Tribolium castaneum: one gene and its partners. The protein of the gene in region 5 purifies or fractionates together with the protein of the main gene of each other region. This does not show direct contact. Links are inferred from orthologs where the notes say so. Each region holds a gene or a part of one and is shown on either strand. Other genes may lie near its edges.

Region 1 (6,468 bases), on a different chromosome or scaffold from region 5:
TTTTACAGGCACAGGCCTCGTAAAATTACATGAAACACCATGTACTCTAAAAAATTACAATACATAATGAAATTGACTTTCCACTATTCTTTAACATTAAAAATTTAAAATTCTGTAGACACGGCCTTCTCTAATTCAGTTTACTTTCTATCTCATGTTAAATAAATAAATAATTTAAATTATGAATCTGCAACAATTTTTTTACTAAATTTACTACTTTTTTGAAAAACTAAACTAGAAAAACAATGTAAATTTACAGTAATTGCTTCTTCATCGTACACATCTTATTTTAATATTTGCGTTCTCCTTCAACTTCAACTTAACAATGTTGCATTTTCCCACTATTATTGTGTATATTTATAGTAAATTTACTATAAATAACTATCGACAGGTGTTACAGATATCGAAATCGAACTACTAGCTTCATTTCATGTTGATTACATGTAGGAGATTTATCTTTTGAAATAAAATAAAAATTCTCCCATCTTGAATCACTACACTACGCATCACTACACAAACATGATGACATGTTACAAGAAAACTTCATTTTCTAAGTTTTCTTTTACGAAGAGTAAAGCTCTGTAGAATTCAAATTGAATGAGAAATGTTTAGCAAAAAACCTTCTAGAAGAAAGATATGAGAATGTAAACACCAAATTTTTCACATTTTGTTCGATAAATTTTCATATCATGCTTTACTTCAAACCACCCTCTAGTCCTGCTAAGTTTAATATCAAAAAAGTAAAAAACACATTTTTATGTAAAGTTTTCTGCTTTACAATTTTTATTTAGAACTCAGACTCTTAGTTCTTACCTATTTTGAATAATTTTGAAGTCACTTCTCAGGCGTCAAAAACAATTTCTTTGATTCAATGTCTTTTATAATAATATATTTCAAAAATTATTGTATACCAGGTGAGGCAACCTTATGGCACACTTAAAAAAATCGCGATTTCTTATTAAATAAATTAAATAAAAAAAATGCATTTAACATGCCTAACTGTGCGTTCGAAAGGCATCTCCCCTAATTTTTTTGTAACTTTCCAGTTACAGATAAAGATAATAAAATTAAAATAATGTAATTTTCAAGCAAGAAGTCAAATTCTGAATTTTATACAAAACTACGCGTATTTACTTCAGATAATTGTTTACGAAATTAGCGAAAAAAAATACCAATAAAACCAAATTAAACCACCAATTAAACACACTTTCACATTTTAACTTTAAAAATTATTTTTATTTATAGAGTTGCTACTTCTGGCGTCGTAAATTTAGGTGATAATGAGAGATCTAATCATTAATAGCTATTTTACATTTTTATCAATCTTATTTAAAAAAATAATTCGGTAAAATGCGACGTTGGCGTTTTTATAGATTTGATACAGCTAGTACTTTTCTCAAACATTTGAATTAAAAGCTTTTGTATGAGAGTGAAAAAACTTATACAAACTGCGAAGAGCACATTAAATGTAGATTTGTCGATTATCGAAGATGTAACGTAATAAGTTTATTTTTTCGACAGCAGAATTAACAAAAAAACAAACTTCATTGCTATTGAACAACTTTACCCATTAAGAAACTTCACTTTGCGGTTAAAAAACTAAATGAATAATTATTTTCAGTAGAATAAAGCACACAGACATCTGCTATAGAAAAAAATACATTATGAGCTAGGATTATGAGTTATTATTGTTACCAACGCACCCCATTCGACTCAAACGACATAGAAAAAAACACTCACCATCTAGAAACAACCACCATCACATTGGTTACATTCAAAATTTGTAATAAATGTAAAACACGCCCTCCGGCGTGCGTTTCACCATCGTCATCGCAGTCTTGGAGAATGGTTCCCTGAGAAGTCAAAATTCTATAAGCTGAGATGTTATGAGTTGCTTGAGCAATTTTTTTATTATCAAGTAAAAAATTCATAAATTCTCTATAACAAAAAATTAAATAGAATATCATTCAGTAATTTGGACATGTAAAATACCTTGTCTCTTCTAATGAGTGAACCCGAGCCATGTGACCCTGAAAAACACTTTTTCTGTCTTGTATAATATCCCCATGTATCACTTGTAAAAAAGTTTCCTTCCTGACTTGTTTCTCTTCAACTTCGCCATTTAAAACTTCTGGCTGTGGAGCACTTAAAACTTCTGAACACTCGTCCACAATTTCCTTTAACTTTTCAATCCACTGAAACAGAATAGGGCTTCCCTGGCTACTTCTAAGAAATCATAGTTCAAAAATAATTGTAAGAAGCATAAACACTTCTTGTTCATACTCGTAAATGTTACCAAATTCATCGGAAATTAGCTGCTTCTGCTCTGACGTTAATGTAGGAGCCAATAACTCAAAACTTGGGGGCTTGCTTGACGGATAATCATCATTCAAAGTTATGAATAATTTAACGTTGGGATTAATTTGAATGCTATAACAATTCGTGTCCGTCTCCAGCCGCCAGTTATCATCGTAAATAGATTTCAAAGCTTCAAGTTCCTCACACTGTTCCGCTAAATTATCCATTTTTTTGGAAAACACATTTTAGTTTTGAGGTTATGTTTACACATTTCTGTCATACGTCAGTCATACTTTGACAGTGCGAATTGAGGTTATGATTTTTATTCCAACAATTGTCTTGTAATAATAAATTCAGTGCCACACAGTATTTAATTACACAAGATGCAGTCTCACCCGAAATTAATGGAATTGCGTCCTGATCGATCATTACTGAACTCTGATTTTGACGGTTATAAGTTGTCTTTGGCCGAGATCCCCACAATTAGCGAGCAGTTAAAAGTACCAGTGGACAGATTAGTGCCTGATGTAAATCAGTATTCGTTGCTCCATGCAAAACTCTTTGCTCTTCACAATCATTTGATTAGCGAAAATGATAATGAATCAGTTTATTTTGTTGATAAAGAGTTGAACGTTCAAAAATTTAGCATTGAATCATTGACACACACATTCTGTAAAACAACCGTGTGGACGCTACCTTTACAGAGAGAAAGGAGCTTTGGGGATTACAATATTTCCCTGAAATTTGCCTCAAGTCAGATTGCCGTTGTAGCAGATGGAATGGGCTATCTTTACGTATTAGACAGGGGCTGCAGAGACATTGACGATAAATGGAAGATACTCTTTTCTGGGGACGTGACAGGTCCTGATCAGAAGTTTGTTGTAACTGATGTGGTTTTTAAAGAGGCCCCAAAACCACATTTGCATTTATTACTAACCAGTATAAGACAGAGGGAAGCGAATGAGAGAAATTCAACAATTTTGCACTGGATAACTTTGGAAAAAAGCGATTCGTGGAACCAAGTGGCTTTGAGGGAACTAACAGTTAAAGGCTTCGTCCAGTACGCAAATTTCGAACGCACTTGTGACGCAGTTTACGTAATCAGCGATGATGGTTGCAAATTCACCCTGGATTCGGAAAATGAAATCAAAAAAGCCGAAGAAATTCAAGTTGAAAAGAAATACAAGTGGAGCCAAACCAGTGAAGATTTGACCATTAAATTTCCACTTCCTGAAAATTTTAAGAAAAATTTAGTCCACGTAACCACCGAACCAACCCACATCTCGGTCAAATACGAAAATGAGACTCTCCTAACCGGCAAATTGTATCACCAAATAGACCCTGATGTGACCTGTTGGACCATTGAGTCAAGCACTCTCGTCCTAACTTTACAAAAGTGTGAATCCGGCCTTATGTGGCCAGAAATCGTCGAAGGTGGCTACGTTTTTGGCGAATATTTGCCAGATCCGGCTTTAGTTAGCGAAATTGCGGCGAGATTGGCCCCACTTACGAGCGATACCGAGATGGGGCCGCCCACAGGGACCACTTTCAACAGCCAACAAGTGGAAGAGTGTGACTTTGAGTGCGATAAATTGACTGTGTTTGAACGAATTTCGCGCGATTCGCATGAGGTCACCCATAAAATCAACTTGGGGTCACATCAAGTCCTGCTAAGTGTTGGGTTGGAAGAGAACCAGCCGTTGGCTGTAGGGATCCGAAGTGATGTTGATACGTGTATCTGGCAGCCGACTAATGAAAATGAGTTTCGATTGGTTCATAAGGGTACTTTGCTAGCGCTGGGTTATATTCAGGTGAGTTAAGATATATGGAGGACTAAAACTAAGTGGCGAAACGAATTTGAAAATCACCCAATTTAACCGACTCGGCTCCAAATTGATTAAGTTAATTTAAATTTATGACTTGCTCAAAAATACTTGTTTAAAAAAATTGCAGGAATGTTGGCTTTTAGTTTTTAATCAGCTGTACAAAACTCACGGCTATTATTTTCAAAAGTAATTTTTTTTATCGAGCATTTCACAAAATTTACATATTTAATGTAAAATTGTAAAGCGTGGTAAATACAAACAAACTCTACAATTTAACAAATACAGATTTACTAATCGATATTCCTAATTACAAAAAATGTTTTTTTAAGGTAGCTAAACGTCGTCAGATTTAAATTGGCAAAACCAGCATATTTTCATTAAATACGTTAACTTAATAATTTAGTAGTGCATTGATGACCTTTTGTTTTTCTCAATCACTTTAAGCTTAAAAGTATCTTCAAAATCAAACTAGAGCAAGAAATCAAGAAATGTTTTTATTAATTTTAGTAAAATATATGAGGCATTTGAGAACACTTTTGAAAAGTAAATTCTTTTAATAAATAGATGTATTTTATTTAATTTTTAGTGTTTCGACTGATACGTGTATAAGTTTTTTAAGGCAAATTTTTACTAAACAACAGGGAAGTTTTATAAGGTGTTAAATAAATTGGTACTTGACCAAATCGCACATAAGAATTAAATACATTTTAATAACATATAGTATAAAAAAAATCACACATAATACGTATACGTGTATAAGTAACTTAACTAAGTTACTAATTAGTAATTTAAAATGTTGTGAAGTAAATATGGTCTCTTAAATTGTCTATAAAGCTCTGCTTTAATTCTAAAGAGAAAATTATAATACAATTTAATTTTTTGAGATATCATAAACTTCTAACGAAAAGCACAATTGATCGAACAGTGATTTTAGAATATGGATTGTAATTTAGTTTTTTATTTTAACCTTTTCATGAACGTTATTCACTTTCGGTCTTTCTTTTATACAGAGTCAGTTTAAAGTAACACATAAAATTCGTAATTCTTTTAATTTTAAAAAATAAGACAATGCAAAAACAGGTAAGTTAGCATTTTAATTGAGCTTAAATTTGACCTGACTGCATCAGTCATGGCGGACAATATGGCGGCACCATGACGTCATCACAGAATTTTTAAATGGAACGGTATAATTTTTCTTATAAAATCAGAAGCTCTACTAATAAGTCTTTACAATATGGATGAACCAAACACGTAATTTTTTTTGACATCATCATTATAAAGTGACGTATAAAATTCATATTTCTTTTATTGTTCAAAAATGAAAAAAATGCAGAAACGGGTAACTTAGCATTTTAATTGAGCATAACTGGATCAATCATGGCGGCCAATATGGCGCCGCCATGACGTCATCAATTTTTTTTTAATGAAACGATATAATTTAAAAAAAAATAAAAAAATTATTAGTCTAAAATAAGGTATAAAATTCATATGAATTAGATGCTATGACTTAATCCAGGTAGGTCAGAATTTAACTTAAACTTAACTTAAAATACTAAGGACCGGTTTATGGAAACATCATTAATTTAATTCGCAATTAAATGGATGATTAACGGATCACGTGACCAAATTGAAGCAGTTTGGTTGGTCCATTCGCGTTGTTAACTTTTAACAACGTAATTAGCTTTAATTGAGCTTTTATTTTAGCTTTTAGCTTTTATTTTAGAATTCCAAAATTTTTTTCCGCGTTTGGTTTACTCATATTCAAAATAAGTAGCACAGTTGTAAACGCCTATTAGTAGAGCTTCTAATTATAAAAACGGTACCGTTTCATTTAAAAAAAAAATATAATGACGTCATGGTGGCGGTACAATGGCCGCCAAAACTGATCTAGTTCAGTGAAATTTGAGCTCAGTTAAAATGCAAAGTTACCTGTTTTTGCATTTTTTTAAATAAAAAAATTCCGAAATTTACTCTGTAGGTGCTTACACTGTTTTTTTAATTCAGTCATTGCACTGCATTGTTTTTCTAATTTGTTTTGGTTTTTAGAATACATCGTTTTAAGTTCATTTTCTTTTGATTCGTCATAAACTCATAAATTTGTGTAAGCGATTTGTCAGACACGTAATTGTGTACATCTTCATTCTCGGATTCAGATATATTAGGATATTTTTGTTTTTTTACACATTTTTTTTATTCTCTCGTAATTAACTTGTAACCCCATTCTAAAATAAGTATCCAGTTTCATAAAAAATATGCAAAGGGATAAGGAAAGCATTTGAAATTCCAAATACGATTAAAAGTTTTTAAAGATACATGAAAATATATATCACTAATGTGCTTAATG
Region 2 (4,954 bases), on a different chromosome or scaffold from region 5:
AACGGTCCAGGTTCATCCGCTGTATTTACAATTTGCTCAATTCGAGCAGCCCCGCTGTGCGGTATGAGGCTGCGGGGACTTTGGTCACGCTCTCCACAGCCCCCACGGCGATTAAAGCGGCCGCCAGTTGCTACATTGAGCTCATAATCAAGGAAAGCGACAACAATGTCAAGCTCATTGTTTTGGACCGTCTGATCGCTCTCAAAGACCACCCAACTCACGAAAGGGTTCTTCAAGACTTGGTTATGGATATTTTGAGGGTTTTGTCGAGTCCTGATTTGGAGGTGCGCAAAAAGACTCTTAATCTGGCGATGGATTTGGTTTCGTCGCGAAATATCGAAGAAATGGTCTTGGTTTTGAAGAAAGAAGTTGCGAAAACGCACGATGTTGAGCATGAAGATACCGGAAAATATAGACAGTTGCTAGTCCGGACTTTGCATTCTTGTTGTATTCGATTTCCGGATGTTGCAGCAACTGTTATTCCAGTTTTGGTCGAATTCTTATCTGATACAAATGAGCTTGCAGCCGTTGATGTTCTGATCTTCGTCAGAGAGGCGATTCAGAAATTCGATAATTTGCAGCCGCTCATCATTGAGGTAAGAAAATTCTTTGAAAATTTGAAAAATTGGACGTTTGACGTAAGTCAACTCTCGATTAAGAACGGTTGTTTGGGTTATTTCATGGTTATTTGATTAGATTATTTGTAAGATCTCAATTGTCGGTAATCAAACGTTTTGCTATGCATTTCGTTTGATTATTAATTTTGTTTTATTATTATCTGAATGTGTTTAATCATTGGAGCGTCAAATATCGAAAATGACGCACACTTGATTAATGATTACGCATTTATTTCTATATAAACTGCAAGAAATAATCGAATTTAAATTTTTCTTTTCCGTATAATCATTGATTTGAGTTCTGTCGTGACATAAATCAAGTCACAATTTTTTAAAAAAGAAAAAATACGAACAATATTACTAGTGCGTCCATATTTTATGAATGAAAATCATGAAAAGGTCATCTAATTAAAATATCTGGGTCACATTTCGGTCGATTTTTTTTATGAAAGATGATGCTTTCGTCTTACGTCATTTCCAATGCGATGAGTAGAAGCAAAAAAATTATTAATTAACGTAAGTATTAATACGCATTGTGATTGGCCTGTTTGAGAAAACAACCACTTTGGATTTTTGGACTCATTCCAATTTAGAGCAATTGGTGAACTTCGACTTGGTTGATTTACTTATTATAATAAACATGATTTTTTTCTGATATTTAATACGTGTCTCTTATGTACTTCATCACGTTAGGTTTCTGAAAAAATTATTAAATATTGTTATAAAGCTTTATTAAATTTCACTGTATCTGAGCGTTTTATTACTACGAGTAAAAAAGAAAAGTCATATTATATGACATATTCAAACATGTATAAGAAGCTGGTTAAATCAAAAAAGCATTGCTATGCCGAAAAACATTGTTAATAAAAATTATGGCCACTGCGACACAAAATGACAGCAAACAATCGGTATTATTTACTTCACCTTACGCTCATATTCTTGTGAAAAACGCCGAAAAAATGAGAAAACTTTGCTTCCTTATACCTTTTTCCATATTTTTATCTTTGACGGTTTACTTTTAAATTTTAATTGTGAGACCAAAATTTTGTGATATGGTGAAAATTATCCCAGCGACAGTTTGGGGCCAAGATATAATTAATTAAATTAATTTTAATAAATTTAATTATTTAATGAAGAAAGATTTTAGTTTCGTTGCCCTTAGAATGTTAACGCAACGTCTCTTTAAAATTGAACTATTTTGCGTTTCTTGGTTTATGGGAGCAAAAACTATTGGTAAAACAATCCACAATCACGTAATAAGAAACCAATAATTTTAAATTTTAATCATTTATTAACATTATTACAAAAATTTATATATGTGAAAAAAAGATTCAATGATGCCCGAGTGTTTGTCTTAAAAAAATATTTTCCAGAAACTCCTCGAAGCTTTCCCCAACATAAAATCGGTGAAAATCCACCGAGCCGCCCTTTGGATTTTAGGCGAATACGCAACAACTGTGGCCGACATCCAGTCCGTACTTAAAGCCATCAACCAAACCCTAGGCGAGGGCCCCCTTCTGGAAGCGGAGCAACGTCTAGTGGCCGGAGATTCGGAAGAAGTCACCCAACCGAACCCAACACAAGCTTCCAGCACCCTCGTCACTTCTGACGGAACTTACGCCACCCAATCAGCCTTCAACACGGTTCAGTAAGTAGTCATTTGTCGAGAGAAAAGCCCGGTTTGTAAATCAAGCTTTAGGAAAAGCACAAAAGAGAAGCGGCCCCCACTTCGCCAGTATCTAATCGACGGCGATTTCTTTATCGGGGCTGCGATCGCCTCAACTTTGACCAAACTGGCTCTAAGGTACGGCAGTTCGGTTAAAAATGCGGTTGAAAGGAATCGGTTTGATGCCGAAGTTATGATGATCATGGCCGGGATTATTCACTTGGGGAAGTCGGGTTTGCCAACTAAGGCCATGACCAATGATGATAAGGACCACGTTTTATTCTGCTTGCGGGTGCTTTCGGACCGGCAGCCGAGCATTATCAAGGTTTTTACCGACTTGTGCCGACAGGCACTTAACGACATGTTAGTCGCCAAAGAAATTGAAGAAGCACTCAATCAGAAAGCGAAAGAAAAGGCTGGTAATGTCATACAAGCCGACGATCCGATCAATTTTATGCAATTACAAGCCGACAAGTCGGGCGAATTGGGTGAAAACGTCTTCGAAACGTCCTTGTCACAAGCCTTGGTTGGGGGCCGAGTCGGCGGCAGTGACACAAGCACTGGGGTTAACAAGCTGAACAAAGTGACTCAATTGACCGGCTTTTCAGACCCGGTGTATGCCGAAGCCTACGTCCATGTCAACCAGTATGATATTGTTTTGGACGTTTTGATAGTCAACCAGACCAACGATACGTTACAAAACTGCACCCTTGAGTTGGCAACTCTCGGCGATTTGAAACTCGTGGAAAAACCGCAGCCGGTGGTTCTGGCGCCCAAAGACTTCTGCAACATTAAGGCCAACGTGAAAGTGGCCTCGACCGAAAACGGGATTATTTTCGGGAACATAGTTTATGACGTCACGGGAGCAGCGTCCGACCGAAACGTGGTGGTCCTGGACGACATCCATATTGATATTATGGATTACATAGTCCCGGCCACTTGTAGCGACTCGGAGTTCAGGCAAATGTGGGCCGAGTTCGAGTGGGAGAATAAGGTTTCGGTTAATACGACCTTAACCGACCTTGCGGAATATTTGAAGCACTTGATCAAAAGCACCAACATGAAGTGTTTGACTCCGGAGAAGGCCCTGTCAGGGCAGTGCGGTTTCATGGCCGCCAATATGTACGCAAAATCAATCTTTGGAGAGGACGCTCTCGCTAATTTGAGTATTGAAAAACCGTTCAACAAACCTGATGCACCCGTTACTGGACATATCAGGATCAGGGCCAAGAGTCAGGTTGGTAGCACTGAGTGTGAATCACAGCTGAGTTTGTTGTTGCAGGGGATGGCTCTGAGTTTGGGTGACAAGATCAATATGACACAGAAGGGGCAACAGAGTAAAGTTATCGCTGCATAATTTGTATTTTATGGTCGTATTAATATTAATAAAGTTTATTTGAAAAAATGGCTTTGATTACGGAAAACTCGCTTTTTCTGAATCCAAAAAATAGAGTACTTATACCGTCTCAGCGCCAACTCTTTAAATTAATTTAAATTCAACCAATTCTGAGAAAAACTGTATTATTCTAAAATAAAGTCACTGTGAGAAAAACTAATGACTGAAATTTTCATAAGAAACGTGAGAAAAAAAAGAACATTTTCGCTTCGTGCCGTATTTTTCAAAACGCTACAAAATATTGGCAAAGTGCAAATTGGTAGAAGTTTTTTTTTTTAAATATAAATAACGATAAATTTTGCGTTATGTTTAATGCTTTATCATTTATAAAATTCATTGCTCAGAAAACAGACGATAATGAACGACTGCGCTCTCTGGCGGCACTAAGGAAACTATCAAGGACGGGACCGTTTTATTTGAACGTGGTTTCGTATCCTAACCTTTAGACCTCCGTAGTTTTGATGTAACGATATTTATTTGATTATAAATACAGTTTATTATTGGAAACGAAAATAAAATAAGATAAAAAGTACATCATGGACGTCGGGACAAAACGATGTTCTCGCTTGCTTATTCTTCTTCTTCCTCCTCGTCGTCCTCTTCCTCTTCTTCTACCTCAACCTCCTCTTCCTCTTCCTCCTCTTCTGGCTCGGGCTCGAACACCGGCTCCTTGATGTCTTCATCATCATCGGCGGCGTGTTTGCCCTCTTCTTCGCCCTCAGGGGTCTCAGGATCGCCCTTCTTCTTGCCGGGCCTTTCACCGAACCATTTGGGAAGTTTGGCTAAAATACAACGTTTCAGAACCCGCCCTTGCCCACATTGGCACAAATAAGCAACCAGCAGCAACTCTTACATTTTTGCCTCGAATCGAATTGCCCAATTTTGTCTTTCCAGAGTTTTTCATTGGTTTCCTTGGTAATTTCTTCGTAACCCTGTTAAAACGTAAAACGCACACTCAGACATGGCACAGTACAGTTTTGTGATTAGAAAAAGGACACGAGACAAGTGATTAATAGCAAAATGGGCACAACACAACGGATATGCCCACTTACTTCTCGACCGACTTTCGAACTCGCCCACTTTCTCTTTCCAAACTTTTTCCAAAAGTTCCATGTTTAGGTGGTCAAAGCCCTAACAGAAACGGTCACAACGCAATCATCGGTCCTTTTTTTGACTTTTGTAATACTTACACCCTCAAACAGTTTCTTCTTGTCGTCGTACGATCTGGTGTCGACACGACGCTCATATTTGGACGCTACTTGGATCTTAGGCTAC
Region 3 (6,643 bases), on a different chromosome or scaffold from region 5:
ACATGCGACGTAGGTGCGCATAATTTTTAAGATTTTACGGTCAACTGGGATATTATTTCTACTTTTTTAATAAATATAAGTACTGTAATTATTATTATTAATTCACTTACGTTAATTATAAGTCCACACATCAATAAAAAATATTAGTTATAACACTAGAATTAACATTACATTCACATACAATTTTATTAACATTGTTGCGGACAAAATTATTTCATAACAATCACATAAATCAATTAAATATCGCTATAACAGTCAGTGAAAACAATGCAAGAAACACACGTTGCGGAATGACGATAAAAATACATGCATAGGTTTGCAATTATTACGTCGTAATTTTAATTTATCAACAGAAATTTATATTTAGATTGGGTGCACATACAAATCTAATTTTGAACACATTAAAATGTGTCAATTGCTTCCACAGGAAAAAGCAATTTGCTTTGATACAGGATATAGGCAACTTGTAAACAATAGTAAGAGCACTTAGTACTTAGCCATATAGTACTTAAGTGTCAGAGAGGAAGATGCAATGAAACATACCTTTTCACTCAGGTAGAGGAACACAATCAACGGTACACATTATTCTTTGGCCATAGAACTGTTTTAAGCCTTTACTACAAAGTTACACAAAGACACTATGGGACGAGATGTTTTTAACAGAATTAACCTAAACATAACACACTACTATAGCTTTTGCTATGGCCTTGGTACGGCCTTGATGAGGCACACGGAAACGTGAACATAAAATGAACATAATAACAGATAAATATAGTAAACTACTAATGTTGATATCAAGGCGCCATCTATTTGTTCTCCACTCTTTACTCCCAATTATTATTGTTAATTAAACTTTATTCAGTAATTGGATCAATGAAACTCGCTGCCCACACCTCAAACAAACTTCCATTACTCCATTTCAAAAGACCCCATTCAAGGAAAATCAAATATTTTGAATATTTCCTCACACTCTACTTTTAGAACACGCTTATATGACCACCAATACTCGCTCTATATTGCTGGTAGATTATTTTTCAAAATTTAGAACCACCCATTTTCAGTCCTTTCACTCCTACCCTTATTTTTGTATTGATTATTTTACACTTTTATCTATTCTATTGTTCTGTTGCTTAAATCACTTATACAAAAAAAGGAACATTTGTTGATTATTAAAGTAAAGTATGATTAAAAAAAAAACACTCACTAAACTGATGTGTAGTAACAGTAGTCTTGTGAGCTTGTGACTGCACATTATTCATGTCAATTGACAAACATATTGATTTCTTGATGAGACAAACAAATTATAAATCCTCTACCACCAATGTTTTATTCATGAAATAAAAAATGCTTCAAACTCAGTACCTAATCATCAATTTTAACACATTCCTATGATGGATTTACAGTTTTCAGTGCAGTCTATGTACAAATTTTTGAATACACTGTAACCACCTAAACGATAATTTTCAAACTAATCGGGGTATTGGAAAATATCGAACTGAAACACACTTGCGTCAGAAAAATGCCAGCAAATAATTGCTCAACAAGATGTGCAAACTGAAGGAAAATTCAAGAGCCAATCGAAAGAAGAGTAATAAAGTAAAGTAATTATTTAGTTTGAGATATTTACCAAACGCACTATTAATAATGGTTTACAGGTAGATAATAAATAACAGTTAATCGTGCTGGCTGATTATATTTGTTGATTATATCAGCTTAAAGTAATTAAAAGCTTCTTGCTAATACTCGTACCTAAAGTGTAAAAAATTAAGTAAACGAATGAATAACAATATCCGACAAATTATTGTGTTAATAAAAAATTATTGTTGTTTATTTTTCTCACATTTACAATTTTTTTGATTACCATTGATTACCTTTAAAAAATGAGAAAATAATATAATATATCGCACAAAAGTCAGACTAACACACGTTAATATTATTCTAATCTTAAATTTTTGAAATTTGACACTTTACTGTGGCATTTTTGTATTGTTTTCTATCTTTAATTAACATTTGCAGTAGCATACAGGAAAATACTATGTTTTTTTCATAGCCTTATCTTATGACTTTATGATAGACAAAGAATGGTTAAAATTTTTTACTTATTAATCAGAATGTAATAAAAAATAACTCTGGCCTATATTTTCGTGATCTGGTAGCCAAGATAAAAATTTTGGAATGTTTGATATTAAAAAAAATTTAAATTTTCAAAATACTTGCAATTTAATCACGATATTTTATTTAATCATTTTTATTGCACTAGCTATACTTAATACTCAAATAACCCAAACCACCCACCTTAGAAATAAAAATAACTTGTAATTCTAGGCCGCAATTTTTTTTTGATATTCAATCAATTTGTTCAGATACATATCTTTACAATATCATAATTTACTATAATCTATTAAGACAATTTAGTTTGCTGAAATATTCTTAGGCCATAGTGGATAATAAAAAACCGAAAATATTTTTTTTTAGTTAGATACAATTTATTATCTGGTTTATTTCTAAAATAATTACGTTTTTTTTTGCTTTTTTTCACATTCCTGTATTGCTATATTTTAGTAGGAACAAATTACTAAATAGCTGAAGCAACAAAAAATATAAAAATAGAGCAGTTATTGACTTATTTAGTTTGATTTTAAGTAACTTATGAGTAGAAACTGGAGCATTTTCGAATTTTGCGCCTAGAGCTGGTGCAGTGAATCGGCGTAAGGTTGGCTGACTGAATACGGTCACGTCACTGTTTTTCTCATTCAACAGCAAGCACAAGTCAACGTCATCTTAAAAAATTAATAGGGTGTAATGTTTTGTAAAATATTATTTTAGTTTTTAGGAACATAACAGCAACAGACCTTTCACAGTCTCTAAAATGGTGAGATAATCTTTCACACACCACACAAATCCAACCTTTCACAATTCCAATTTAAAATTTCCAAGTTGCCATTTTACGCATTTTCTCACGTTATAACATATGATTTCAGGTGCTCATAGCAGCGGCGGTCTGCACTAAGGCCGGTAAAAGTAAGTACCCCACATAAACCACCGAACCATGTGTTGCAACCTTTCTCTGCCTTTCCAGCCATAGTCTCTCGGCAGTTTGTTGAGATGACCAAAGCCCGCATTGAGGGTCTCCTGGCGGCTTTCCCCAAACTTATCCCAACAGGAACACAACACACCTTTGTAGAGACCGACTCGGTCCGATATGTATATCAGCCACTTGAGCGCCTTTACATGCTCCTGATTACCACAAGAGCTAGCAACATTTTGGAAGATTTAGAAACTCTGAGGTTGTTTGCGAAAGTGGTAAGCTGTCCAGACCCATGGAAGCCACAAAAACATCCTCACATTGTCATTATTTTAGATTCCCGAATATTGCCGCTCATTGGAAGAAAATGAAATTGCGGAAAACGCATTTTCCCTCATTTTTGCGTTTGATGAGATTGTTGCTCTTGGGTACAGGGAAAGCGTCAATTTGAGCCAAATTCGCACATTTGTCGAGATGGATTCACACGAAGAGCGGGTCTATCAGGCCGTCAGACAGGTAATAAAATTGCTAAACTGGTAAAATCATTTATTATCAAAGTTTGTACAACAACGGACACGGCTATTATTTCAAATTTGCTATTTCATGATTAGATTGCCTCACAGAAAATAAATTAACAACAGTTCTAGAAATTGTAATGCCAAAAAGTCGTAATTCCAGTTGGCAATACTGAATTCTAATTTTAAACAATGTAACTGAAGTATATTTCTGGTTAAGGTTTTGGATTCTGTCATCAGTGACAAAAAAAGGGAATTTTTTGGTTAAAAATTATTAAAGCCAAGAAGTTGTAATTTCAGATGGCAATACTGACTTTTAATTTTTAACCATGTAACTCAGTATATTTCCCGGTAAGATTTTGGATTCTGTCTTAAATGAAAGCGGTTTGAAAGAAATAAACAAAATGACAAGTTTTCAAAGATTTTGTGTTAGTCACAGCTCTTAAAGTAATTTTGGTAATAAAGCAAATAACTCAGTATTGCCAATAAATTTTTTAAGATGTTAAGTAAAATTCCTCCCAATTTTAAATTTTTATTTGAGGTATAAAATCAGATATAATAAATTTTTCGACACATTATTTCATAGTGACCCAGTAGAAGGTGAAATAAAAATTAATTTGCTGTTAAAAGTTAATTTAACAGTTAATTTGGTAAGTGATCACTGATCAGCTGTTCTAACGTTTAAGTGAACGAATTCATCGCTAATACCTGTCTCACTATTTTTTTTTGTTACCCTGATGGATTTTATGTTGAAAATTAATAATGGTATAATGAACATAAAAAGAATTGCTGTAAAATCTAGAGTTCTTATAATACCATAATAATATTCCGTTTCACATCAACATAAAGAGACTATGCTATTGTTTGTATAACTTGTTGATATACCTACCAGGTGAATAAAGAGAATGAAATCTAACGTGTTTTTTTTTGCTTAAACTATTTACTTTTTGGAAAAACTACTAGCAGTGTGATTAAAGAAAATGTTTATTTTTTTGTATGTGTAGTTTTTGAATTTTTTACGACCCACTTATTTATCCACTGGTTTAAAAACTATGAAAACTTAAAGACAAGCGTTATTAAATTTTTAAATTGCTTTTATTTACAATAAATTCAAGATTTAAAGTTTCACGAAAGGAAAAACATCTTATTCAGACAGAATGTTTAGCTTGGGCATAGAAAGCCATTTCCGATATTTCTGCACTTTTAAACCTCCTCACGGAGGTCTTAGGGCGAATAAAATAGAAACAGAAGACATGAGACATCTAACATTTGATAGAAAGCATAATATTTCTTTTAGAGCCCTTTCCTATAATTGAATTAAGGCATGCTGTTTGTATAGATTCGAAACCAATGTAATTTCTGATTTACGAACTGACTCCTCTTTAGACACAAGAACGCGAAGCTAAAAACAAAATGCGTGAGAAAGCTAAAGAATTGCAACGCCAGCGAATGGAAGCCAACAAAAAGGGCGTCAAACCATCATTTGGTAGCAGTGGAGGCTTTGGTAGCTCATCTGGTTATACTCCAGCCCCTTCAGTCGGCGATGTTGCCAATATTTCAAACGATATCAAACCACCAGCTTATTCCTCCGCTCCTCAGTATGTTAAAAACATCCAAAAAATTTTTTTTTAAATTGATTTAATAGGAAACCTTCGACTCGAGGAATGAAACTGGGTGGCAAAGGCCACGACGTTGAGTCTTTCGTAGACCAGCTTAAATCCGAAGGCGAAAATGTCATTGCACCAGTTAATAACAGTATTTCACAAGGGGGAATGAAAACACCAGCGATCAAGTCCGATATTAATGAGTAAGAAAATAAACAGAATAGAGTAGAAAGTGACTTGAATTATTTCCAGTGTTCACTTGAGACTGGAGGAAAAACTAATCGTTCGAATGGGCCGTGACGGCGGTGTGCAACAATTCGAGTTGTTGGGGTTGGTGACACTGCACATTGGGGACGAAAAGTGGGGGCGAATTCGTGTCCAGTTGGAAAATAAAGACACGCGTGGCATCCAGCTCCAAACTCACCCCAATGTAGACAAGGAACTTTTCAAACTGCGTTCCCAAGTACAAACAAACCAAAAAATTATTGTTGATTAATTTCGTTAATTTAGATTGGGCTCAAACAACCATCCAAACCATTCCCGTTGCACACAGACGTCGGTGTCCTGAAATGGCGATTGCAAAGCACAGATGAGAGTTTAGTGCCTCTCTTGATCAACTGTTGGCCGTCGGAAGTGGGCGATGGCAGTTGCGACATCAATATCGAGTACGAACTTGCCGATCCGAATTTAGAGCTGGCTGATGTCAATATTTTGATTCCGTTACCGTACGTTCATAAAATGTGATCCCAGTATTTTATTGATGTATTATTTTAGGATGGGTTGTAACCCGGTTGTGGGCGAATGTGATGGCTCATACACGCATGAGTCAAGACGTAACCAGCTAATATGGAATCTACCTATTATAGATTCAAGCAATAAAACTGGATCGTTGGAATTTAGTGCGCCCCGATCTATTCCTAACGACTTTTTCCCGGTGACAGTTTCTTTTAGTTCGAAATCTGCTTACGCAAATATTAAGGTGAGTTTTCCTGTTTACGTCACCAGCACGGCGAGTGCGTTAGTAATAGGTCGTGGTTTTAAAGACGTTTTCTCGTTTCAGATTCTTGATGTATTAATGGTGGACGATGATTCTCCTGTTAAGTATTCTGTTGAAACTAGCTTGTTTCCCGACAAATATGAGATAGTGTAAGTGTCACAGTAGGTTACGATAGTTAATGAAATTATATAATAATAAAATTCACTTGTATAAATACTACTAATATTTTATTCGTTCTTGCTTTTTGTACAAAATTTTAAGAAGTTTGTTTTAATTTTTATCTATTATATAAATAAAATAAGTCAGGAGTATATTTATAACCCGTTGTTTCATTCCCGCCAAATAAAAAAAGACTTGCTTGAATAAAATTTTATTAAATAATAGTTAATCACAAATCAATTATGAACTACACAGAAAAATCAAAAGCAAAGTGCATTTATTTTGGCAGATTTTCTAATACCTTTTGAGCCAAATAATCCGTTGCATCACAGGTTACTGTTTT
Region 4 (5,611 bases), on a different chromosome or scaffold from region 5:
TATTACATGTTATCATTATCATTAGTAATAAACGCATAAGATCAATTACAAAAATTTTATTTGACAAATAAATTTAACGGTTGCCTCCTGGAGATCGTTTTGTGATTTTTAATTTGCCTTATTTGGCAACAAGCACTTGTCTTTAAATCATTATCAGCTTTATTACTGATTGTTTAAAGATTAACCCTTTTTACAAAACCTTATCAATATTTTGTTGAGACAACTTTTGTCGCAGACTTTCAAAATCAAATATTTTATCAAATATTTTATGTAATTCCAGCTTTTATTCACTATCTCTGCCACAACCAAAGTACTTATTTATAAAAACCATTGATTTTATTAACATATTATTATTTTTTAATCTGATGTATGATGGAAGTGTTTCTTAAAAAGTAGATAAGATTAAGTAATTTGAAGGGAACTTCAGATAAAGTATAATCACGTATCCACCCAGGTATGCGAAAACCTGGTTAAAAAATAAAAATGTTTGGTTGTGGGCGTCCCAAAAATAGAGAAAACGATGAAGAAAGAGAACATGACAGACGTTTCAAAAGATCGACCAAATTACTACTTTTGGGTACAGGTGAATCTGGAAAAACTACAATCATTAAACAAATGAAAATTTTGCACATTAATGGATTTTCAACCGAGTGAGTATTTCTTTTTTTGTCAAGAGTAAGTCCAAAAAATTAAAATGTAGAGAAAAGAAACAAAAAATTCCATACATCAAGCAAAATATTCACGAGTCTATCTATGATATTGTTTACAACATGGATAAAATTAATCCTCCTGTAAAACTGGAGAAGAGCGGAAATGAAGAATGCGCCAAATTTATTTTAGATTTGGGGCCAGAAGAACTAGAGGAATACACTGAGGTACAATTTGAACTAATAATTGAATAATTATTGCATATTTTTTAATAGGAATATTTTGATAACGTGAAGAGCCTTTGGAACGATCAAGGAGTGCAAAAAACGTTCGAGCGCTCAAACGAATACCAGTTAATAGACAGCGCCCAACAGTAAGTGTTTAGGTGAAAAGAAACGGTTTCTTAAATAAATAACAGTTTCTTAGACCGTATTGACGAAATTAGGAAGCCGGACTACATCCCCTCAACTCAAGACATTCTGTTTTGCCGAATTCGCACCACTTCCATTTCGGAGATTGAGTTCAGCGTCCCAGTCCCTAAAACATACGGGGGCGGAAGCGCCAATTTCCTCATGTACGATGTAGGGGGCCAGCGAGGGGAACGCCGCAAATGGATACAAGTTTTCGACGGAATTGACGCAATTTTATTCATAATCGCAGCGAGTGACTTCGATCAAACACTACGAGAAGATGAATCGAAAAATCGGCTTGAGGAAGCTTTGTCCGTTTTCAGAGACATGTGTGGAAGCCGGTTTTTACGAAAGGCTGGAATGATTGTTTTTCTCAACAAACAGGACCTCTTCCAGAGGAAAATAGAGCACGGGAGAAAATTGGAAAAGTACTTCCCCGAGTACAAAAATTTTAATAAAACTCTGGGTTCTGCGGTGGATAATGCGAAAGCCTTCCTCGAGGAGAAGATAACACAAATGTCGAAAATACAAGTAACAGTGAAAAATTATAATCCAATTACAAAAACAGTAACTGAGGAGAAGCTGCCCCCTAGGGATATTTATATCCACCACACTATCGCTACAGACACTCAGAATGTTAAAAAAGTGTTTGATAGTGTCCACGAAATGATAATTAAGGAAAGTGTAAAAAACATTGCTAGTTACTAATACAAATTTATTACAAGTTTACACAAATACTTTACTTAAGCAAAGACCACTTGAGTTGCTCTTTGGCCGACTGTATTACCTATAAATAAACGTATTTGTTATTACATATTACATATTTATAATTAATTTTTCCTCATACACTTAGCATAACATGACAAAAGCTTCACCAAAAAATTGAATGGACTGCATTAGTTACCTGAGCTACAGTTTGCTCTCCCAAGGGAATATCGTCGTTCCTGAGAGCCACTCGCGACACAACTGAATTTGAATCAGCGTCAATAATAATACTGAAATACAAAAATATGTAAATAACTTACATTGTAAAGGTTAAAAAAAATTACATAATGAAGAAAGTATCCCCTCACCTACAGCAGGTACACCCTATATTTTGTGCATTTTTGCATATACTACATAGTTGTTAATTAGTACATTAAGCTAAGTTTTTGAAATAATTTGTGGAAACAAAACATCTTTTATTAATAATTAGAAAAAAAACTACATCATAAAACACAACAGGCAATATTAATTTACAGACATACATTTGTTTAAGGCTTAATTTCTGGTACGATTAAACTTTTAGCTGAATTTGGAATGGTCGATGTGTATTGTATAAACTCTAGCTATACTGGAAGTTAAGAAGTTTCTAATGTATGCCTTAATAGAATCACCCTCTGGATTACGGTTATTTGTTGTCAGAGCAAAATGAATTAGTAAAACAAAAATGCAACAATAAAACAGATGGAGCCACATTGGGGTACGTTCCCAGGAACAGCCAGTGAAGGGAAACTTCTTCATTAATCCAATATGTGTAACTCACCCCCCATCACAAATTTCATCCATAGCCAACATGACTATATCAAGTGAGTCCAAAACGGCCCTCTTTTCGACGTTTTTGCGCAAAATCTGACTAACAGAGTCATAGAGACAGTTTAAAACGCTCATTAGAATTAACTGAAACGATTTATAATTAACAAAAAATAAATAAAGTACTGAAAAACTTACTTCATTTTCGTGCGAACTACCCATAACATAAAAAAATAAATCAACATTGCTGCGATAAACACAAGTTAGACCATCTAACATGATTATTTCAGCGTTAGCTCTGTGTGTCTTATTGAAGAGATTTTTCTCAAAGGCTCTCTGTTCCTTAGCCGTGGGAAAAACGTTTTTATCGTAATATTTAGCCAAAATACGGTTGCCGTCATTGTCGAGGATTGCAATTCCTTTAACCATGTACAACGTAGGCTCCTGTAAAAACGGGTACTGTGGGCCCCCACAAATAAAACTCGCACATACCAACAGTGTTCCTTCCATTTTTCTCGACTTGTGGCAATTAATTAACGTAACAAATTGTAGCTTATTTCATTAAATTGCAAAATACTGGCAAAATCAGGCTTATTTTGATTTTTGTACGTGTCTAAAATTTGACAATTGACAGAAGATGGGAATTTGGTTTGTGATGTTGGTATTTGTCTGTCATTTGTCAAGTGAAAATTTGAAAATTGTTATTTTGATCATTTTGATTTTAAAATACGACAAAATGGACCAAACAATATGTCCCACAACGCAGCAAAACATTTTCCTGTTTGAGTCATACAGCCGTAACACCCAGTGGCAGGAAAATGAAGGATGGCTGTATAATGAGTCCGTTGCAGAAAAGTGTATTCAGGAATTTAGAAATGAGTTTCCTGGGGCCACTTTTAGCGATGACATGTTACGAGAATACGTGCCCCAATTGGTTGATCGGCTTCGAGCAACTGGTAGTATTAGAGAACCGGAATTACCCAACTTGGAAATTTTTCTAACCCCCGAAAAAGTACAACAAATTAGAGCTGTCCTCGAAAAGGACCCAAACATGCCCCCGAGGAAATTGTCTAAGGTCGTAGGTATGGAAAACATTCCGTGTTTACAATTTGAGACTAATTTGTTTAATTACCAGGCCTACCTGCGGCGACTTGTAAAGCGGTCATGAAAAAACTGAAAAAATAAAAGTATAATTAGTTTTGTAAGGTAATCAATAATTATCTAAAGTTTAAGTTTAACTAATAATGTAGTAACTGTTTTCTTTTCTACGTTTATAATTTTGTTGGAAGAAATAAAATCCTGTTCATATTTAAATAAATTTTATTGTTTTGCGTACCAATACTGGTCATTACATGTGGGTTTACATAATATAGGTAAGTCTTAATCAATACTAATACCTAAGTAGCAGCACAAGGAAGAAGGGGGATGATTGTAAAAAAAACAAGTCTTTGCAGTAAACACGCAGTATCAAAAACCAGATAAAATAAAAAACAGCCAATAGAAACGAATTATAAAGTCATTATTCCCTAAACATATTCTTAAGATCATGTTCAAACAACGCAATCAGCGTCATAATCCCAAACCCTAATAACAGCCCACTCAAATGCAATATGCACTGAATCAAATTCCCTTCATCTTCATGTGCCGAGCTCAACTCTGGTATCATATCCACCAGCGCAATATAAATAAACGTTCCAGCCGCCACTGCGAACACCCAAGAACTGGCAACTTCCGTATTCCCTAAAATTCCAAATATTGAAATAAAAAAAAAACAATATACCACCAAACTAACCTAAATAAACTCCCAGCAAATTCCCCAACACGCACAAGATGCTTGAAATAATGTTATAAAACAGCGCCTGTTTGATACTCATGCCGGCCTTGAGCAGCATGGCGAAGTCGCCCACCTCATGGGGCAACTCGTGGCAGAAGACAGCCACGGCGGTGGAAAACCCCCCAGCGGCACTCCCCGAAAACGCAGCCCCTATCGCCATACCATCAGTGAAGTTGTGGAGACCATCACCCATAATCACCATCCATGCAACCGACGAGAAGTTCTGGGGGGCGGCATGGACGTGCCCATGGAGATGGGAGTGGCCATGGTGGACAGCCCCGTGCTCGGTTATAATAACGGTGTAATCGGCCTCGGGTTCCTCGTGAGGAGCCATTTCGATGTGTGGGAGCATCTTGTTGATTTCGGTGCAGTTGTTCGAGGTGTTGAGGTCGTTGGGACACTCGGTTAGGTTCTGGTTGGTTTCACCGTTCTCGCAGTCTTTGGATATCGCGGTTTCGGACGAGTCGCCCTTGGCCGCTTGCTAAATATGTTTTGAGTTATTATGTTAAGCACAATTTTTGTTTATAAAATTGGTATAAAATACAATGGAATCCGGTTATAACCATTGGTTATACAGGCTGTCTTAAAGTTAGTGTAGGTATTCCCCGAGTTCAGAAGATTGTAGAGAATCACTTCACTTGTACAAATACAGAAACTAAATAAAGACTCGGGACTTCCCCACAAAGATACATAGTTCGAAAGTGCACTTTAGGACTTTAGGTGCATTTTGAATTGCTTTTTTTTCAAATGCAGGCTAAAAATTTCAGTGTTTATTTTTAATCATGGTATAAATGATTTTGGAAAACACTAATGCGATACAATTTCTTGAAAAATCTTTAATTTTTGTAATTTGTCTTAAAAACAAAACGTCAAATTATAAAAATGTCTGAACCATATTTACGTTTTCATTTCGTAGGGGCAGAAATCCTTTAATCAGTGTCACGTACGGCGCTCATGAGTTTAAATTAGTTGTATTGGAAAAAAATATCGCCGATTTCATAAAAAAAAACTAGTACACAAAGATCATTGTTTCATTGAACAAGTATATTGTCATCAAATAATTATCATACTTTCCACTAACTGAGCTAATACTACTTGCGAACACATCAGTGGCGTACGGTTTAGTTCCAAAATAACTTAAATTTATTTATTTATTTATTTTTTTGAAAACGTTATCCAAAAAATTTTTTTACTATTTTTCCCAGCA
Region 5 (6,761 bases):
AGAAAATTAAAATAAAGTTTTTCTAATCTTTATTTAATCCTGTCTAAACCCATTCACCTTTAATACGTTAATCAATAATGATTTAATGAGTAACAAACTAATTGTTATTCGTCCACCTAACAAAATAGCTTGTTTTAAGATTATTGTTCATTTTTAACTTTGTTCAATTTATATAGAATTTATAAAATCAACAGCAATTTCGTCTGTAACAAATTACGTTAAAATATTTGTAAGACAAATGATAGCTAAATTAATAAATATTATATCAAAGAAATTCGACAAAATTCATTGCCAGCTCATTTATAAAACAATAAATATTTTTTCGTTAATTTAAATTAAATGATTAATTGTTGGAGTTTTAGACACATCAAATTTTCTTTCAGATAATTGTTCAGCATATAAATGCGCAACTTTGCCCTAATTTAACCGACCACGTAGGTCTTATAATAACTGAGATCCCCATGGTGGAGCTCAAAAAACCAACACCCCCTATACATATTATTCAATATATCTTGTATGAGAATTCGTTTTCGAGTGTCATTAGTCATTACTCATTACTCATTAGCCCTGTCATCCTAACATTAATTGTGTGGGAGTAAAGAATGATACTAAGAAAATTTTTTTTTAATTATTTTTTAGAAAAAAGATCTTATTTAAAAGATGCTCTAAAAAGTAAAAAATTATGTTTTTCTCCCAGAGGAGAATATTTTTGCTTACAAGTTAGGATTCTAAAATTTATAAAAGCTTCGGGAACAGTGCTGAATTCAAGAAACTAATTCTGTAATGCCTTATTGTTATGACTTGTGACTATGACTTATAATTTATGATATGACCGTTCCCAGAGTTTTTATAAATTTTAGAATACCAACTTGTAACCAGAAGTATTCTTCTCTAATAGAAAAATATTATTTTTTACTTTTCAGTGCATCTTTTAAATTGAATTTTTTATCAAAAACAAATTTGAAATTTTTTAAATTTTATTTTTGCTAACTAAAACTAAAGTTTCACTTATTGTAAACGTCTTTTTCTATTAAATTTAATTTTACTGCATTATTATTGTAACACCATTATTTAGCTGACTTGTGCAAACTTGTTTGGCGGTATGTGATAGAAAAGAGCAGTTAGCATTTTACAATTTACAGCACATTCTTACCTCTGTTCTGTGTATATCGTTCAAGATAAATGAATTTAAAAAAAAAATGCGACATTTGTTTCTACCTGAACGTGATGAAAATGATTACGTATTAATGCTATTAATATTTTTCTATAAGTGAGTGAACAGTGCGCCTTTTTACACACATATGGAGACGTCCCAATGATCATCATACTGTGTATAGGTTGGTATAAGTCACGGTATAAATGTCGTAGGCTAATAGTAAAATCAGGCGTATTATAAAAAGTCTAATCATATTGTAAACGACTGGGCAAATTGAATGAATGAATAAATGAATAAATATAGGATTTTTACAATGCTATTGGAAATTTTAGGTGTATTATAAAATTTATAAAACACCTAACAAGTTTTCGTCTTAATGTAAAATGGTCTTTAATATCGTCCAATTAGACTGGGTTACATTTAGTCGTTTTGTAAAAGAACCAAAAATGCCATCAAACATTTTATAAAATTCCACTTTCTAATGTAGTTAGGTAGTTTAAAAAATTTAAAAAAATTGCACTCTAAATTTAAATTTACTCGTCGACAAAAACTCTCTTATATCTCAATAACTGTAAACATTCTGATAAGAGAAGTTGTTATTTTCGCTTATTTTGAATTCTACTATTACTACTATAACCCTCTGAAATACTTATTTATTATTATCACTAATTCACCCTGTAGTATTTTGAATTTGAGGTTATTTTTTCTTTTTATACTTATCAATTATCGTTATCACTGTAAATTTTTGGGACGAGTCGAATTGGTTCCCGGGGATGGTCGAATTGGTTCCCATCGGTCAGGTAGGTCAGGTAAACAGATTAAAGTATTATAACAGAAATGGCGTTTGTAAGTGTATGAACAAATTTACAAGTTCCAAAACGTTAAAAAACAAATCGTATTTTAACAATTTAAAGGCTGCGGATAAATATTTCTTCGAGTATTCAAGTACTTCCAAAACGATGAAGAAGGCGCATAGAACTTAATGGGTACTATGTCGAAAAATGTTAAAATTATTTTTGTAATTTGTCTCTATTTTGATGCTTTAATAGTATTAATAGACATATTAACGAACGCAACGTCATCATGTGAGATGTCTTAATAGTCATTGCTTGACGAAACATTTTACGAAATTTACAGGAGAGCATTGGGCTTAAAAAATTACTAAATTCTCCTTTTTTTAAATAACCAGTTAGCCATGAATAAATGAAATTTGTTGTTGGATTTTGTGCCAAGAAAATAATTATTTGAAAATTTCTACAAGCTTTAAATCTAAAATATTAACATATATTTGGCTTAATCCTTTTTACCTACCTGCTCATGCGGGAGCCAATTCGACCATCACCCGGGAACCAATTCGACCATTACCTTTTACAGAATTATACTTATAGAGATTACTGGGAACCAATTCGACCACGACCGGTCAGCGATGTAAAGAAACTAAACTATAACAAATCTTGTTAAGTTTATATAGACTTGGTAAATTTGTTTAATGTTTTGATGTTCCTTTATGCAAAGTTGGCGCTTTGACCGGCTCTGATAAATTAGATAGTGGTAGCTTTGTTGTGCTACAATAGAGCTCGAAATGTGTCCAGTGAAAAAATGCTGGAAAAAAGTTCGCGCATTCATAAATCTCAATGTTGAACAAGATATATGTAAACATAATTAGGCTAATTTTTTGTAGTTCTTGATATTACAAACCTATATTAATAAATATATTGCTATAAAGACATTGCTTTTCGTGTCTTCCAGCATTTTAAGACGATAATTTATAATATAAAGTTAAATTTCAGTAGTACTGACTAGCGCATTATAATACTCCAAAATAATGCAGGTTTGTTTCAGTCGTATTGCAAATGAACCATAGGTATTTTACAATAAGACGAAAACTGGTTAGGCGTTTTATAATACGCCTAAAATTTTTTCAGTTGCATTTTAAAAACCCTACATTTATTTATTCATTTACAATTTGCCCAGTCGTTTACAATATGACTAGGCTTTCATAATACGCCTAATTTCACTATAAGACTACGACATATACAAATTGAAAACCCCTTTGTGAACATAACCTGAAACTTTAAAACCCTATTTAGCCCCTTGTTCCGTAAACCGGCCATGTGTTATTCAAGTAGTTGGCTGCTAACAGATAAGAATAAAACAAACCCAGATAATTAATTGCCAACATTGATATCAAATTTGAGTAGTGAAGATTTAAAAAATGTACGACAAATATTTTAATGTTTCAATACAAAAGATAGGTATGTGCTTTGAGCCAGAAATACCGCTGTGCCATGATCTGTATGATCGCAAAAAATGATTAGATTTATTAAACTACAAACTTACCTTGCCAATATCCAAGGACGTTTCGAATGAAATGATAGGCCCTTTACACGGGCTGATTTTGTTTCAAATTTGGTCAACATTTTGAAAACTGGTTAAAATCCCCAGCTAGCTGACGTGTCTTTTGAGGTTATGTTTCTCTTTGGAAATTTATAAGTTAGGTCATACAGTAATCTATAAAATCACTGAAAGAAACAATACATGTAGTAAATAACAACACACCAAAAGTAGTATTTGTGCCAATAGACAAGTACCTTAAGTAATTTTTTTGGATTAAAAAACACATTCCACAAAACCAATATTGACATTTATCGAACATAAAAAAACACGACACGAAACACGTAGCAATTTAGGGATTTTTGGTTTTCAGCAGGTTTGCAAACAAGGTTAAACTTGAACAAGAATCAGGTTTTCTTTTAAATTAAAAAACTAGATATTTCCCCGCATCATTTTACAAAAACTAGGATCAATATAGTTCCACTTTTTCGGATAATTTTGCTGTAATTGAGAAAATGAAAAAATTAAAAAATATATTAACCCCCCCACCTTTAAAAATGGCCAAGTGTCTCAAAATCAATTATTAAAATCCATCTTATCTGATAGATTTTGATGTACTCTTTACGATGGAAAAAAGCGTTTCCTCCTACTTAGCTCTTTTATTTTGGCCGTAATCGACGATTAAAAATAGAAAACTTTTTTTCGAAATATTGCCTTGAAACCTATGCCATTTTGTAAAGCTTTTCACTTCGGTTCTCTTCAATTTTTCCGATTTTCGATAACTCTCATTGGGTGGTAATAATAAAAATGAAGTAGATGCTAATACTACAGTACAGTGGTACAGTGGAGTAAATAATAAGCGTTCATTTAAAAAAAACTTTAGAGTGCTTTGAAATTAAAAAATAATTCATGTGAACGAGTTTGCTTAAGACTCCTCGAGACCCGCAATTTCGTGAATTTCTTTCAAAAATACTCAAAAAATTGGCTCTAAGGTCTCAATACTACTGTTACTCGCTAAATTATAAGTGATTACCTGTGTCGTTGCATCTGGTGGAACATTTATTTTTCAAATGTTGAATCTGTCCACACGTTGAGCAAAAGGTTGAAAAGCCAGTTCTCTTAGCAAAATTAATCACCCATTTTGCAACAAATTGCTGCTGTTGTCCTCCGGCACCTTGGATAGCCAACTGTCATTGAAACAGTGAGCGACTCTCTGCTTGCAGGTCACACTTACTTGTATCAGTAGGTTGAAATAGGTGTACATAAAAACATGTAGCTTTTTTACAACTTTTATTTTTTTTATACAATAATATAATATTTACATTTTACTACGACTACTACTACTTAGCTAAACTTATTCTACACTATTTTCTACTAAAGAACCCCGGCCCTAAAAAATTCACAATAAATTACTGCTGAAAAAGATTCAATAAAACTTACTTCTTTAATTTAAGGCATTATGATTCTTTTTAGTTTTTAGGAAGTCGAGGTAGCTGGGCTCATTGAAATGATCCCAGTTCTCCTCTTCTTCTTTCAACATCACTTCACATGAGGCCCTTTGTTTTTCTTTATCGGCCCGATGACACTTCCAAATGTGCCTTTCAAGCCGAAACCAGAGCAGTACGTGGTTTTTGTCGTATGGACAAACTATGACATCCTCTGAAAAAAAATTATTTCCAACTAAACTACTAAAAAAATATTAAACTTACCAGGAGTATTATAAATCGAACACTTCCTTGTAACTTCCATTTTTTAAAGAATTTCTTGTTATTGCAGATATACACAAGAACTGTGTTACACAACACAACACATTAACTTTTATACAGTTTGGGGTGGAAAATGAGTAAGGACAATTGCGCGATTCATCTTGAATGAGTGAGGAGTTGTTGGCCTTGGAAAAGTGGGGAGTAGCATGAATGACCTTGACCTTGAAAACACCAAGGTCCAATAATGCCTTGGCCTTGAAATGGTGGGGGGAAGTGGGAGGGGTTGGCCTTGAAAAAGTAAGAGAGAACGAGTGACCTTGAAAGAAAGAGAGGGAAAATGGGCGGGGTCAAACTCAAGGTCAAGGTTGTGTTGTGTTGTCCCCCCATTCGTTATCTACTACCAACTCTTAAACTGATCGTAGCATTGGCCGTGCTTTGCTGAGAATACCTGAGGCTGACTGAAGGCTCTGAACCATGTTGTTCTATAAAGCCGTCCCTTAAGTTACGCAACGTTGTTAGGTGACTGTACAGACTTGTAACGCATGCAGAAGTTTCACTTTGTCTTTCTTCAGCGTTGCTTGTGGACGCAGACGGCTCTTGGTCTTGCCTAAAACATGTTTTTTTACTACATACTAAGCCAGGGTCCATCATTTTTTTTTGTAAAATTTTTTTCGGCAACTAATGTTCAAAAAAAGTTGTATGAGGTATTTAAGAGTATTTGAAGACTATACCGGATTGTACGAAATTTATTTATTTATTTACAGAGACAAACAGCTCTATAATAAATAAAATAAAAAAGGCTTGGACTTTGAATAAAGTAGTTGACCGAGTTATAACAAAAAAAAATGGGACCGCTGTCACTTTAGCTAGGCTCTGCTAGTGGTAATTTTTTCTCATTTTGCTTCTTGTTGGAACAATAGTCTTTAAAATTTACACAATCAGAATTTAGGCAAGAATTGGAACGAATGTTTTTGTGGATGTTATCTTCAATTTTTTTCACTACAATTTGCACTAGTTTATCAATCACACAAAAAAAGCTACCTTCTCTAATTATAAATCCAAATAATTAAAAGATAGTGATGGTAGTAGGAAAAATTAAAATTGAAATCTTCAAAGTGAAATTTTTGGCAGCGAAATAGCGACTTTGCGTTGACTTTGTGAGCATTTTTTTGCGAAATTTGTTCGCTCAAACATCACTTAACACGGTCAAATATTGCTTTTTTGTTTCCTTTTTGAAAATCCAACCATTCTTTTTGAGTGATAGTCACTTGTGTTGGCAGATTTATTAAAATATGATTAAACTTTGCTCAAGTTAGCTGAAAACAACTATTTATACGAAAAATGTTGTTTAAAAAATTTTGTTTTTGAAAATTAATTAACTGGGGCTGTCTAAAGGCTGTTTTTGTGTAGTAACAATATTTTTGTTAAAATCGGAATTCCTTAAAAAAAAATTACTCAACTAAACTGACAAATCGCTTAATTAGAGAAAAATTAAGTAATTTTAGCCTTTGTTCACCATTTTTGAGCAAAAACTCGGTGACATTCTATAGTTATAAATATATTTA

What was found.
Region 1: the proteins of alphaCOP (region 5) and nudC domain-containing protein 1 purify together in Homo sapiens (co-immunoprecipitation; 3 studies listed by BioGRID and IntAct, with this or other methods). This does not show direct contact. The link is inferred for Tribolium castaneum from reciprocal best matches to the Homo sapiens genes COPA and NUDCD1.
Region 2: the proteins of alphaCOP (region 5) and betaCOP fractionate together in Homo sapiens (co-fractionation; 6 studies listed by BioGRID and IntAct, with this or other methods). This does not show direct contact. The link is inferred for Tribolium castaneum from reciprocal best matches to the Homo sapiens genes COPA and COPB1.
Region 3: the proteins of alphaCOP (region 5) and deltaCOP fractionate together in Homo sapiens (co-fractionation; 4 studies listed by BioGRID and IntAct, with this or other methods). This does not show direct contact. The link is inferred for Tribolium castaneum from reciprocal best matches to the Homo sapiens genes COPA and ARCN1.
Region 4: the proteins of alphaCOP (region 5) and zetaCOP fractionate together in Homo sapiens (co-fractionation; 6 studies listed by BioGRID and IntAct, with this or other methods). This does not show direct contact. The link is inferred for Tribolium castaneum from reciprocal best matches to the Homo sapiens genes COPA and COPZ1.

The regions. Positions count from the first base shown.
Region 1 is NC_087394.1:22,047,823-22,054,290, forward strand, and holds the start of nudC domain-containing protein 1, read left to right. Parts: upstream 1-2,681; coding exon 2,682-4,109; intron 4,110-6,468. Other genes in the region: protein IMPACT-B, read right to left, coding at 1,741-1,938, 1,993-2,226, 2,284-2,525.
Region 2 is NC_087397.1:6,601,558-6,606,511, forward strand, and holds the end of betaCOP (coatomer subunit beta), read left to right. Parts: coding exon 1-596; intron 597-1,990; coding exon 1,991-2,265; intron 2,266-2,316; coding exon 2,317-3,520; intron 3,521-3,565; coding exon 3,566-3,640; 3' UTR 3,641-3,722; downstream 3,723-4,954. Other genes in the region: up (troponin T), read right to left, coding at 4,250-4,461, 4,533-4,611, 4,870-4,950. UniProt on the Homo sapiens protein: The coatomer is a cytosolic protein complex that binds to dilysine motifs and reversibly associates with Golgi non-clathrin-coated vesicles, which further mediate biosynthetic protein transport from the ER, via the Golgi up to the trans Golgi network.
Region 3 is NC_087394.1:32,201,671-32,208,313, forward strand, and holds deltaCOP (coatomer subunit delta), read left to right. Parts: upstream 1-2,716; 5' UTR 2,717-2,869; coding exon 2,870-2,872; intron 2,873-2,981; coding exon 2,982-3,021; intron 3,022-3,079; coding exon 3,080-3,303; intron 3,304-3,361; coding exon 3,362-3,541; intron 3,542-4,926; coding exon 4,927-5,138; intron 5,139-5,185; coding exon 5,186-5,347; intron 5,348-5,396; coding exon 5,397-5,607; intron 5,608-5,654; coding exon 5,655-5,869; intron 5,870-5,918; coding exon 5,919-6,123; intron 6,124-6,204; coding exon 6,205-6,294; 3' UTR 6,295-6,461; downstream 6,462-6,643. Other genes in the region: hfw (protein halfway), read right to left, coding at 1,205-1,252. UniProt on the Homo sapiens protein: Component of the coatomer, a cytosolic protein complex that binds to dilysine motifs and reversibly associates with Golgi non-clathrin-coated vesicles, which further mediate biosynthetic protein transport from the ER, via the Golgi up to the trans Golgi network.
Region 4 is NC_087396.1:16,250,446-16,256,056, reverse strand, and holds zetaCOP (coatomer subunit zeta-1), read right to left. Parts: upstream 3,227-5,611; 5' UTR 3,081-3,226; coding exon 3,063-3,080; intron 3,015-3,062; coding exon 2,769-3,014; intron 2,718-2,768; coding exon 2,584-2,717; intron 2,054-2,583; coding exon 1,963-2,053; intron 1,878-1,962; exon of another isoform or gene 1,846-1,877; coding exon 1,798-1,845; 3' UTR 1,767-1,797; downstream 1-1,766. Other genes in the region: Galphaf (guanine nucleotide-binding protein G(f) subunit alpha), read left to right, coding at 484-650, 701-875, 924-1,021, 1,067-1,766; zinc transporter foi, read right to left, coding at 4,090-4,310, 4,363-4,885. UniProt on the Homo sapiens protein: The coatomer is a cytosolic protein complex that binds to dilysine motifs and reversibly associates with Golgi non-clathrin-coated vesicles, which further mediate biosynthetic protein transport from the ER, via the Golgi up to the trans Golgi network.
Region 5 is NC_087403.1:717,609-724,369, forward strand, and holds the start of alphaCOP (coatomer subunit alpha), read right to left. Parts: upstream 3,879-6,761; 5' UTR 3,748-3,878; intron 3,679-3,747; 5' UTR 3,577-3,678; coding exon 3,497-3,576; intron 33-3,496; exon of another isoform or gene 1-32. UniProt on the Homo sapiens protein: The coatomer is a cytosolic protein complex that binds to dilysine motifs and reversibly associates with Golgi non-clathrin-coated vesicles, which further mediate biosynthetic protein transport from the ER, via the Golgi up to the trans Golgi network.